Linked DNA regions of Schizosaccharomyces pombe. The protein of the gene in region 1 purifies or fractionates together with the protein of each later gene. This does not show direct contact. Each region holds a gene or a part of one and is shown in the gene's direction. Other genes may lie near its edges. The genes, in order: pdc2 and dhp1.

Region 1 (5,310 bases):
CAACTGGGAAATTCCTGTTGAACATATATGCTTGCAATATTAAAATTCAAAACAATCGTATACCACGAATTGATGCCACCAAGGTCTGTTTCATTGAAAGATGGAATGTAAAACGTAGTTCGAAAAAGTTGCATATTTCATCACAAGTGCTTACCAGCCAAAAAAAATTCAGTCTATCAGTTTCATAAGAAATTTCAACAGAACAATCTTGTGTGTCAAATTTTTATTCAGATACGTATTTCTTATTCATGCCAAGTATCACTGTAGTAGCTGGGAAATTTAGATGGTCCTAATCCCTAGAGATTCTCCTTATTCACATCCTCTTACATCAGTATCCAAACTATCCATAAGGCAACAAGTGATGAGTACTATTACCTTTTAGTAGTAGTATTTTTACATTAGAAAGGCCTCAAATTTTTATATATTGGGTTAAATTGTACAGTCCGCAAATAATTTAATTACATTTATTTCGCTAACATAACCCGTATAAGCACGTTTCATATTCTTGACATTATTGTGTAGCCTCAGGAATCGCTTCCAACGTTTATTATCATGGATTTTTTTTGGGAACGAATGTTAAATGATCCTCAAAACCATTTCAGTGATGACCAAAAGGAATTTCTAAATCATGCAAAATACCGTGTCAAAAGAAATACGATTTTTGGGATGCTAGTCGGGTTTTCTCTCCCATTATACTTAGGTATGAGATTTCGAACAAGCAATTGAAAATAACTTTCTTATTTTTTAGCTCGTAACAAAAAGGTTACTCCAATCCGCTTGTATGCAACATCAATTATAGGAGGTCTTGCTGGAAATGGGGTAAGTTTTAAGTAATACTAAGCTCAAGCTTACAAATTATGAATAGGTTGCTCAGATTACTACTCTGGCATACAATTTGTCGGCTATACGTCAAAGAGATGATGGCTTTGAAATACTTCGCAAAATACAAGACTCCCTTATTCGACAAAGAACAACGATGCGACAAGGCAGATTTCCTTCTTCATCTTCTGAATTCCCTCCAAAAAACTCAAAATATCAATTACCTGGAAGTATGCCGAATACTGGTGCCTCTTCTAGTCAAGATCCCTTTACGAATTCACAGAGTACGGAGAAAGAGGACGCCATGTACTCTAAAGACAATGGCTTTGAAGATCGATCAAAGCCAGCGTCAGCATGGGAAGCTATTCGTAACCGTAATCGAAATACCGGTAACAATTCTTTTCCATTTTACGAAGAAGACTCGAGTGTTAAATCCACAGATAGTGCTTTTAGTGGACAAGAAAATTCTGAAGCATTTCCTTCCCGAACTTCTAATCTAGGCTCTGAACAGTTGGATGAACCTATTTCTCACGAACAGGAGGCATTTGATCAATTGATCTGGAATGATTCATCGTCTTCCAAATAATTTCCTTTATCTCTACATGTTACGATAATTTAAAATTAATTTTTACCAATTTGAGTGTCACTGAATTTATGATGTAAAGTAGTTAAATTTAGTAGATATTTCTTTTTTTCTATACTGCATTGCCAGATTGATGTAGCTTGCTTGAGCAAGCAACTTATGTATGTTCATGCATAAATTTCGATACATTTCAGTCTTTCAAAAAGAGATAAATTTAAATTCATATTTATGATATACATCTATACGTGATAGGTTTTAATAGCTAGTCTTGAAGATTGATGTGAAATAAAATAGGGATAGATTTACTGGTATAGCAAACCAAATAACAACTTTAAAATTCAGATATAAAAAAAGAACGCAAAGTAAAAATATATATAAAACGCCATGAATCAGTCTGCGTCGAACCAACCCAATCTACTGTCATGAGTATTGTTGTATGCAGTGCCGCCCACCTAGCTACCACCAACTTCTCATTACCATAAACCCATAAAATGTCATTTTTTGGGTTTAATACTACCCTTCCAAAGGAAAATATGTTTCCTAACGAAGGGCAGTTAGAAGAGGATGGGTAAGTCGTTAATATTAATGTAAATATGATACTTTAAGCTCACAAGTATATTTAGCATTGACTTTGAGGAGACCTACGACGATTTGGGTAATCAATTAAATGAAGCCGGAGATGAACTAAACGACGAGACTTTTGGTGTTAGCGCTGGAAGTATAGGTATGTACCTTTGTGCTTGTGATTCTGTAATCATTCTCGGCTGTCATATCTGGGATATTGCAAGCTATTAGTATTTAATATTTTAATATTTTTTCTCACAATTCTAGGACGTGATTTTGATTTTTCAGGTACTACCGCTCAAGCATCTGCACAATTGGAAGATGAGCAGTACCAAATTAATCAACAAAATATTTTCGCTAAACCTGTCAAACCAGCTTCTTCAGAGTTACCTCAAGTTAGTAGACTTAATGGTGCTTCACAATTTCCTTCACGGGAACCTGCGTCTACTGCGATCAATAAGCTTTCCGATTTGCAGCCTATGGCTTCGATTTGGGAAAATATTGTTCCAGAAAAGCCGGCTATTATTCCACCTGAGGTAGCCTCTCTTCAAGATCGTTTGGGTGCCCAACCATCTGAGAAGGTTTTTAGCTTGCAGGAGTTGGAGGAACAGTTATTGAACTCAATGACCGCTCCAAAACCACCTTCTCAACCCGCTATTCCCATTGTTCCATCCGAAATGGCTGCTCAAGTAACTCGAGAAAACATCTCTTCATTGGACCCGGCGATTAGTGCGGCTAGTATTGGTAATGTTACTTTTGGTCAACCAAACATCCCTAGCACTACAACTGATTTTGCTGGATTAGCTGCTCCTAATATGGTACATCCTTCGCAAGCTATACCCAATCCTGTTATGCAACCTTCCCTTGTACCTCAAATGCCATATCCTCAAAACGGCATGTACAACCCAAGTGTTGCTCCTCCTGCTTCCCTTGTTAATCTTTTCCAGCAGGAACAATTAATTCAAAACCAGAACCTTGATGAAAAACGTCAAAAGTTAGAGCGTGATCATATGCTCATGGCTCAATGTGCTGGGTTAATGACACGCAGTGATAAATCGTTTATTGCGAGAATTCAAATATCGCAATTGATGTCGGAGGATCCCGAATCTGATGATTTTTATTATCGCGTTTACTCAATTATTCGAGGCCGCAAGCCTTCCGAGGAAGAAGCCAGTCATTTTATACAGACTTATCTAGGACCTAGCAATAATCGCCGTCGTGGTCGTCGCTCCGAAAATCCTATGCAGAAATTACAACAGCAACTTCAGCGTTTGGTTTCTTCTGCCAAAGAGCGCCCTAAGGCAACTCAGTTGTCTTTAGAAGGTGCTCTTGGTAAAATTGCTGTTAATACTGTTCGCACACCACGACAATTGTTGAATGTTAAACGTCCTACCGAACCAGCATCTTCAAATTCATCATTAAACAATTTTTCTGGATTTTCTACGAAGAAGGATGTATTGCACGCTATTGAGAAAGTTTATGACTTGTTGCTTGACTTTGAGCAAGCCCTCCGTAAAGCCTCAACGCTAGAAACTACCGATCAGGAGCAAATAGATACATGGAAAACTACTTTAAGCGAGAAATTGGAGTCCATTTGGAAGGCATTATACATAAATGAATCATTGGAAGCATCTTCTAAGACTAGGCCTCCATTCATTTCTATAATTTCTCACCCCAAAGGAATGAGGCTGCTACCTCGCTTGTTCCCACATTTGTCCAAAGAGCAACAAATTTCGATTTTAAAGGTCGTAGTTTACAATTTTGATTCTCTTGATATAGTCCTTAGGGGAACATTTGACGTTAACGGTGAGCTGCCTTTGGACGTTGTTTCCGAAATGAGTTCTTTCACGCAGTTCATCATCCCTCCATTGCTCACTATTGTTAATGAACTTGATTTGGAAACTATAAATAACTTATTTTCTCAACTTCTCAATCGCACTAATGCTGTTTATTTAATACAGACGAAGATTGGTTTGTCGTTCCTTACTCTATTCATTAGTCGCGCAGAAATTTTAAAGCAATCTGGCACTGTAAATCAAAATGAAAAAGAAGAATGGTACGTTATACATGTATTTACAGCATCTAACTATTTAGGGAAAATACATTCAATGTTATGTTTAATCGCGTAAAAGGTCATTTCTCGACGGTATTCCCACCACCTAACGCTCGAGCTTATGCTGATGAATCTTATCCATGGGAATTCTTAGCAGCTTGTGCTACTGCTGCTAGCTCTGAACAACATTTTACATTGGTTTCTGAAACTAGGTACGTTAAAATATGTCTAGTCGAGTTTTTGTACTAACAAATATGTAAAAAATAGGGACAGAGTACTTGATAACATCATTACTAGCAAACGGGCACCTTCTGAAATTGCTGTTGTGCGCATCAGCAATGTTAATTTGTTTTTAAATGCAATGGGGCTCGACGCTCGTCAGCTCAGCGCTTAAGTTTGTTTATAAGATATGCGGGTATTTTTTTTTTCAAAAGCTATATTTGCTGAGATTCCTGGATTCAGATTTATTAATTAGAGTATTCCCTGCTACTTAAAAAATGCATACGCTCTAATATAGATTTAAGTAAATTATGTCCTTTTTGAAAACGCTGAATATGAAATAAAATGTATTGAACGAGAAAGAAATTAATATAAAAAACGATAAGTATATAGACAAAAAGTTTATAGCACATATTTAATAGATTTGTGCATCAATAATACTAGCTGCCATTTTGATTCGTAGTTCAGGCATATCATTTTGACTAAACTGAACAGGAACATTTCTAGATACACATTCAGCAGTTTTACAAGCAAAAACTCCACAATCATGTCCATTTCGTTGTCTTGGAGAATTGTCATCCATAAAATTTTCCCAATCTGACACGTCGACGGCACCTTTTGTTTCTGCAATATAATAGTCGCGCAACAAATCAAAAACTTTACCAGGGCTTCCGGCCAGCGAGTCCCAGTATTCAAATCGTTTCTTCGATTTGTTAATAACAGCCATACACCAGTGGACATCCAGATGTACTGGTATAAATACAGCATCCATATCTGCAATATTAACGCGTGCCTTTTTGGCCCATCTTCGAACACCCGCGTATCCACGGCGCTGCAAAGATGTATAAAAAAAAGTATTAAACCCATGTACCCGAGGTAAGGATGAATCAATTTTAGAGCGTTCCGAAATCAAATTCATGTAAAAATTAATTACCTCGTCATTTAACCATTGTCTATTCCGCAGAGTATGCAAGTCTTTAAGCGTGATTGGAATATTAAATTTGGTGATGATGGGTTCAGAAGAGGAAACAGAATTGCTTTGGTTTAAATATTTCAGTGCACGCTTTCGAGC
Region 2 (7,508 bases), on another chromosome or scaffold:
CTTATCCAGAATTGTTGACGAAACAGAACCAATTCCAAAAGATTCAGAAGACAATAGTATCAACTTTGTTAATCAAATCTCGATAACCGATGATTTTAAAAACCAAGTGGTTACAGAATATACGAATGATACAAAATTGTTGAATTTACTAAACAATGAAGACAAACGAGTGGAAGAGAATATCCAACTCAAAGATGGCTTACTAATTAACAGTAAAGACCAAATCTTATTACCTAATGATACTCAGCTGACTAGGACAATTATTAAAAAGTATCATGAAGAAGGTAAATTGATTCATCCAGGCATTGAACTTCTTACAAACATTATATTACGTAGATTTACGTGGAAAGGAATAAGAAAACAAATACAAGAATATGTACAGAACTGCCATACATGTCAAATAAACAAATCTAGGAATCATAAACCTTATGGACCTTTACAACCAATTCCCCCATCAGAAAGACCTTGGGAATCTTTATCAATGGATTTTATTACAGCTTTACCAGAATCATCTGGTTATAATGCACTTTTCGTGGTAGTTGACCGATTTTCAAAAATGGCAATCTTAGTACCTTGTACGAAATCCATTACAGCAGAGCAAACAGCTCGAATGTTTGATCAACGAGTTATTGCTTATTTCGGCAATCCAAAAGAAATCATTGCAGATAATGATCATATTTTTACTTCCCAAACGTGGAAAGATTTCGCACATAAATATAATTTCGTTATGAAATTTTCGTTACCATACAGACCACAAACTGATGGACAAACTGAGCGTACAAACCAAACTGTGGAGAAATTACTAAGATGTGTATGTAGCACACATCCAAATACATGGGTAGATCATATATCCCTAGTGCAACAATCTTACAACAATGCGATACATTCAGCAACTCAAATGACACCTTTTGAGATAGTACATCGCTATTCACCAGCTTTATCACCTTTAGAGTTACCTAGCTTTAGTGACAAAACTGACGAAAACTCTCAGGAAACGATCCAAGTATTTCAAACAGTTAAAGAACACTTGAATACAAACAACATAAAGATGAAAAAGTATTTCGATATGAAAATACAAGAAATTGAAGAATTTCAACCTGGAGACCTAGTTATGGTCAAAAGAACGAAAACAGGTTTTCTTCATAAATCCAATAAATTAGCACCTAGTTTTGCAGGACCGTTCTATGTGTTACAGAAGTCGGGTCCAAACAACTATGAATTGGATCTTCCAGATTCAATCAAGCACATGTTTTCATCTACTTTTCATGTTTCTCACCTAGAAAAGTATCGACATAATTCAGAACTCAATTACGCTACCATTGATGAGTCTGATATTGGAACAATTCTTCATATCCTAGAACATAAAAACAGAGAACAAGTACTCTACTTAAATGTCAAGTACATTTCGAATCTAAATCCGAGTACTATTATGTCAGGATGGACTACATTAGCTACAGCGCTACAAGCGGACAAAGCAATTGTCAATGATTATATTAAAAACAATAATCTAAATATCTGAGAACATATGACTTATCCTCAGATTTACATAGAAAATCTTGGGGAGGGCAATGTCAGCAATACTACACTACGCTATAATACACTACGTTGAGTATCACTATATGTCACATGTTCTAATTATATATCGTACCATGTATGATACGATATGGAGATTGATCTTAATGATAATCTATTAAGATCAATATTATCTGAATACTATAAATAGAGCTACTGCTGAACCTCGTTCCTCAGTTCAGTTATGAGCTATATTAGTGATAGGTAACATTATAACCCAGTTAATACAATACCTATACTCAGTTGCTACTTATACAACCTGTGTATTGTAATATAATAGATCACAAGGAAAACTCACCGCAGTTCTACGTATCCTTAAATCAGATACCAAACTGCGTAGCTTACACTTAAGAGACTAGATTTTAACTATTGTATAGCGAGTACGTTAGTAATTTCCAATTTACTCCAATGTGCGTTAAAAAATTTAGGTAGGACTGCGGAGACTACGCTAGATCTAGATTAAAATACCTAAATATTAAATCTTCAACTTATACTACACTCGTAGTCTTTAGTATCTAAAATTTACCAATTTGGGCTTTTTTGAAGCATTTGGTTTGGAGAAGATTTATTCGATTGAGTATTTTCTCCTTTACACCAAAAAATGGGTGTTCCAGCACTTTTCCGCCTTTTGTCGAGGAAATTCGCAAAGGTCATTACACCTGTTATTGAGGCTCCTACTGAAAAGCTTCCAGATGGTACTGAAATTGAACCAGATTTAAGTCTTCCCAATCCAAACGGAGTGGAATGCGACAACTTGTATTTGGATATGAATGGTATTGTTCATCCTTGTTCCCATCCTGAAGATCGCCCCGCTCCAGAGACTGAAGACGAGATGATGGTTGCTGTCTTTGAATACACGGATCGTATTCTTGCCATGGTTCGTCCTCGTCAGTTATTGTTCATTGCAATCGATGGCGTGGCTCCTAGAGCCAAAATGAATCAGCAGAGATCACGTCGTTTTCGTTCTTCTCGTGAAGCAGCTCTCAAAGAAGAAGAATTACAAGCCTTCATTGAGGAGGCAAAACAACAGGGAATTCCCATCGACGAAAACGCTACGAAGAAAAAATCTTGGGACAGTAATTGCATTACCCCCGGCACACCTTTCATGGACACTTTGGCCAAGTCTCTTCGTTACTACATAATAAATAAACTAAATAGTGATCCGTGCTGGAGAAATGTCAGATTTATACTTTCTGACGCCTCGGTTCCTGGTGAAGGTGAGCATAAGATCATGGAATTTATTCGATCTCAACGAGTGAAACCAGAGTATGATCCAAATACACACCACGTTGTTTACGGTTTAGATGCAGACCTAATTATGCTTGGTTTGGCTACTCATGAACCCCATTTTCGTGTATTGCGTGAAGATGTCTTCTTTCAACAAGGAAGTACTAAAAAGACAAAGGAAGAGCGTCTTGGCATCAAGAGACTTGATGATGTTTCTGAGACCAATAAGGTTCCTGTAAAAAAACCATTTATATGGCTCAACGTTAGCATTTTGAGGGAGTATCTAGAAGTGGAACTTTATGTCCCCAATTTACCTTTTCCATTTGACTTAGAACGTGCGATTGACGACTGGGTCTTCTTTATCTTTTTTGTGGGTAATGATTTTCTTCCTCATTTGCCTAGTTTAGATATTCGTGATGGTGCCGTAGAGCGGTTGACTGAAATATGGCGAGCTAGTCTTCCGCACATGGGTGGTTATCTTACTTTGGATGGTTCTGTTAATTTAGCTCGTGCTGAAGTCATTCTGAGTGCTGTAGGTAACCAGGAAGATGATATTTTTAAGCGTCTTAAACAGCAAGAAGATCGTCGTAACGAAAACTATAGACGCCGTCAACAACGCGAGTCAAATCAGGAATCAGAATCTTATGTTGACAACGTCGTAATTCAGCGTTCAGTTGAGACGCAATCGACAGAAGTTGTTACCTCTTCTAAATCAACTTCTGTTGATACTAAACCGCCAAAGAAAACTCAAAAAATTGACGCTCCGGCTCCAGTGGATTTGGTTAATTTGTCTGAAAAAACTTCAAATCGATCTCTAGGCGCTACTAATAGAGAATTAATTAATAATCGCGCTGCTAACCGTCTTGGACTTTCTAGGGAAGCAGCTGCTGTTTCTTCAGTTAACAAATTGGCGGCCTCTGCATTGAAAGCTCAGTTGGTTTCAAATGAGACACTACAAAATGTTCCTTTGGAAGACAGCATAGCTTCATCCAGTGCATATGAAGATACCGATAGTATTGAATCTAGTACCCCTGTTGTACATCCAATAGACACAAAAGTTTCAAATGTGGGTCAGAAGAGAAAGGCCCCAGATTCGACTGAAGAAAATGAAAATACTGATACAGTCCGCCTGTATGAGCCTGGATACCGCGAACGGTATTATGAACAAAAATTCCACATTTCACCCGATGAACCAGAAAAAATTCGTGAAGCTGTTAAACATTATGTTCATGGATTGTGCTGGGTTCTTTTGTATTATTATCAAGGCTGTCCATCTTGGACCTGGTATTATCCATATCATTATGCTCCTTTTGCCGCTGATTTCAAAGATTTGGCCTCCATAGATGTAAAATTTGAACTAAATCAACCCTTCAAGCCTTACGAACAATTACTAGGCGTTTTACCTGCTGCTAGTAAAAATAATTTACCTGAAAAATTGCAAACTCTTATGACTGATGAAAACTCTGAAATTATTGACTTTTACCCGGAAAATTTTACTATTGATTTAAACGGGAAAAAATTTGAATGGCAGGGAGTTGCTCTTTTACCATTTATAGATGAAAATCGGCTTTTGAATGCTGTATCAAAAATCTATCCTCAACTTACCGAGGAAGAGTCAAAAAGAAATGAGGATGGTTCTACTTTATTATTTATTTCTGAACATCATCCAATGTTTAGCGAACTTGTCAAACAACTTTACTCCAAGAAACGTCAAGGTAAACCACTTAAGTTATCCGGAAAGATGGCACATGGATTGTTTGGCAAAGTTAACACCAATGATTCCGTAATTCCCAATGTATCCGTTCAATGCCCAATTGATGTTACATCCGCTGACGCCCTTCAGAAGTATGGAAGCATAGATGATAATCAATCTATAAGTCTTGTGTTTGAAGTACCTAAATCGCATTTCGTACATAAATCCATGCTTTTAAGGGGAGTGAAAATGCCGAACAGGGTGTTAACCCCAGAAGATATCAACCAAGTACGTGCAGAGAGGAGCTTTTCTTCCCGCCGAAACAATGGTAATTCGTATCGTGGAGGACACCAAAGTTATGGTGTCCGACGCTCTTACCAATCGCAAAGTTACAGTAGTCGACAGAGCTACACTGGAGTTACTAATGGTTTTGCAAACGGTGGAGTTCAACCTCCTTGGTCTGGTAATGGCAATTTTCCTCGTTCTAATGCAAGCTATAACTCTCGCGGCGGCCACGAAGGATACGGCGGGCGCTCGAGAGGTGGTGGTTATTCGAATGGACCGCCAGCTGGTAACCACTATAGTAGTAATCGCGGAAAGGGTTACGGCTATCAGCGAGAATCCTATAACAATAATAACAGGAATGGCTACTATTAATACATTTAAGTTTTCTTAGTACAATTTTGAAAGCGGGTTTGGGATATTGGAGATAAATAATATATCTGATTATTTGAATTTCATTGGCACATTGCATAATTAGTTATGCAATTCAGTTACAAAATGCATGTTGATAACATAAAATTATACTCAACAACTATACCGATCTATTCCTCTTTCTTAAGAGCAGGTAATACTTCTGAATAAACATCAAAGCGGCGTTGAGTATAGATAGGAACGCTGTTTCGAGCGGTAGACATGACAGAGGGATCAATATCTGCGTAAACGATAGACGGTTTTTCATCAGTAGTAGCAATAACTTTTCCGAAAGGGTCTACAACAGTAGAATGTCCCCATGAATGATAGTCAGCGTTCATATCTCTAGCAGGGGCACAGCAAGCAACGAACATCTCATTATCAACTGCTCGGGCTCGTGCAAGTAGTTCCCAATGTAAAGGGCCTGTGGACAAATTAAATGCTCCAGGGTAAATCATCACACTACAGCCATTTCTAGCTGCTATCATAGCGAGTTCCGGAAATCGTATATCGTAACAAATACCCAAACCAAACTTCCCGTATTCAGTGTCAACCATAGTCATGGCGTCGCCAGGTGAAAGACTATCAGATTCGCGGAAGCTAACTCCACCAGGAATGTCAATATCGAATAAATGAATTTTCCGATGAACGGCTATCAATTTTCCAGAAGGATCAAACACCATTGCAGTGTTGTATAATTTGCCATCCTTGCGTTCAGGAATAGAACCGCCAAATAAGTAAGTCTTAGTATCCTACAGTACCGTTAGTCTCACATAATCAACGAAAATTAAATTAACAAACCTTTGCCATAGAGGATAAAGCTTGGTAAGAAGGAGATGATTCCTCTATAGGTTCAGCATACTGATTAAAGTAACCAGTACCATATGGTGAATTGAAAATTTCTGGTAATACAATGACATTAGAACCGTTTTTAGCGGCTTCCAATACTTTTAAACGAGCGAGTTGTAAATTTTCGCTCTTGTCTTTGGTATTGGCAAGCTGAACCAAGCCAATACGAAAAGCACGAAAATCTTTAGGAACCAGAGATGAAGCTGAGACAGACATGATGTTCCTTGTATAGCAAAAATTTAATGAAGGAAAAAAGGATCTTGTGCCTTTTTGAACGAGTCCAAAAAATTTACTGTTCATATAAACAATCACCGACTTGAAATTTTAGGTGAAGGAAGAGGAATGAGTAGAAAGCAAAGATACGAGGGAAGATGTCCTGATTTGTAGGCTAGTCTCAGAATATCTAGCTTGCGATAATTTTGAGCTCCAAAATATTATATTCCTGAAATCTCAATGTAACTTATTAAGCACGTGGCTAGCGAAATCCTCCAATCCAAATTACACCTTGTTATCAAAAAGAAATTTAGCAAGGTGATCAAACTTCCATGTCTTTGATAAGAAGAATGTCGACATCAAACTAGTTTTCAATCTATTGTAAATCTAAAGAAGAAAAAGGGATTTACATTCAAGCAGCAACTACACAAATAGAAATCGTTGTTTGAATGTTACGGAAGGCAAGACCAAAAAAATTGTTTTTGTTTATCTACAAGTTACAAAAGAATGATATTTATTACTGTGTCAACTAGTTTATAGGTAATGATAATATCGTCTGTCATTTTTAGAAAAAGGGGATTCAATTACTATAGATATTCAGTTGTTCCGAATGTGTTGAAAAATAAAATCTTAAGCGTCTTCGTTTCGCAAAAGAAGAAAATAAATGTTATAATAGCTCGAATGAACTGTTTGGCATACATGTTAATTTCACGTATATTGAATATTGATCTTGTTCAATAACAAATGAACTTATGGCATGCATAAGATCCATCAATCGAGAAGAGCCTAAAAATCGCATTTGAATGCGTATTTAAAGAAAGAATAGCTGTATCCTTAGTCAAAAAATTTTGTATTGAAAGAAAAAAGATTAAGAGTATAATGAAAATAAAGAGGAAAAGAAAGTTCGAAAACCAAAAGATGACCAAGAAAATAATGAGTAAATTACGTTGTTTAGCAAACAACCAAAATAAATTGCAATAATAAATTATAGAATTAACACATGATCCGAATAAGAGTAAAGCTGTGGAGATTAATAAGCTCTCCATTCAAATTCGTTGCGCTTCAAATCATGGAATTCACGGAAATCCGAAATGAAATGACACCTGAATAGATATTGAAATAGATGGTAAAAAGAAAGAATGAATTCGATTGGAAAAATGAACATAAAAGATGATTTGATGCAAAAAGTAAAAATGCTTCTCCCTACTCTTTCAAATACTTTGTAAATTGTTTTTGCGAAAGATATGATTGCATATCTGGA

What was found.
Region 2: the proteins of pdc2 (region 1) and dhp1 purify together in Schizosaccharomyces pombe (affinity purification with western blotting, with the first as the bait; one study listed by BioGRID). This does not show direct contact.

Annotation. Positions count from the first base shown.
Region 1 is NC_003423.3:2,368,167-2,373,476, reverse strand, and holds pdc2 (topoisomerase II-associated deadenylation-dependent mRNA-decapping factor), read left to right. Parts: upstream 1-1,863; 5' UTR 1,864-1,893; coding exon 1,894-1,970; exon of another isoform or gene 1,971-2,025; coding exon 2,026-2,126; exon of another isoform or gene 2,127-2,233; coding exon 2,234-4,022; intron 4,023-4,060; coding exon 4,061-4,231; intron 4,232-4,283; exon of another isoform or gene 4,284-4,286; coding exon 4,287-4,413; 3' UTR 4,414-4,642; downstream 4,643-5,310. Other genes in the region: SPOM_SPBC19G7.18C (uncharacterized protein), read left to right, coding at 553-700, 749-819, 866-1,405; SUMO deconjugating enzyme Ulp1, read right to left, coding at 4,654-5,310. UniProt on the Schizosaccharomyces pombe protein: Activator of decapping that functions as a general and active mechanism of translational repression and required for P-body formation. Stabilizes the 3' terminus of mRNAs and modulates the rates of mRNA-decapping that occur following deadenylation.
Region 2 is NC_003424.3:3,355,558-3,363,065, reverse strand, and holds dhp1 (5'-3' exoribonuclease Dhp1), read left to right. Parts: upstream 1-2,062; 5' UTR 2,063-2,173; coding exon 2,174-5,149; 3' UTR 5,150-5,316; coding exon of another isoform or gene 5,317-5,937; 3' UTR 5,938-5,986; coding exon of another isoform or gene 5,987-6,334; 3' UTR 6,335-6,922; downstream 6,923-7,508. Other genes in the region: Tf2-4 (retrotransposable element/transposon Tf2-type), read left to right, coding at 1-1,519; SPOM_SPAC26A3.11 (mitochondrial omega-amidase), read right to left, coding at 5,317-5,937, 5,987-6,334; cnt6 (centaurin ADOP ribosylation factor GTPase-activating protein), read right to left, coding at 7,451-7,508. UniProt on the Schizosaccharomyces pombe protein: Possesses 5'->3' exoribonuclease activity. Required for the processing of nuclear mRNA and rRNA precursors. May promote the termination of transcription by RNA polymerase II. Essential for vegetative cell growth and chromosome segregation.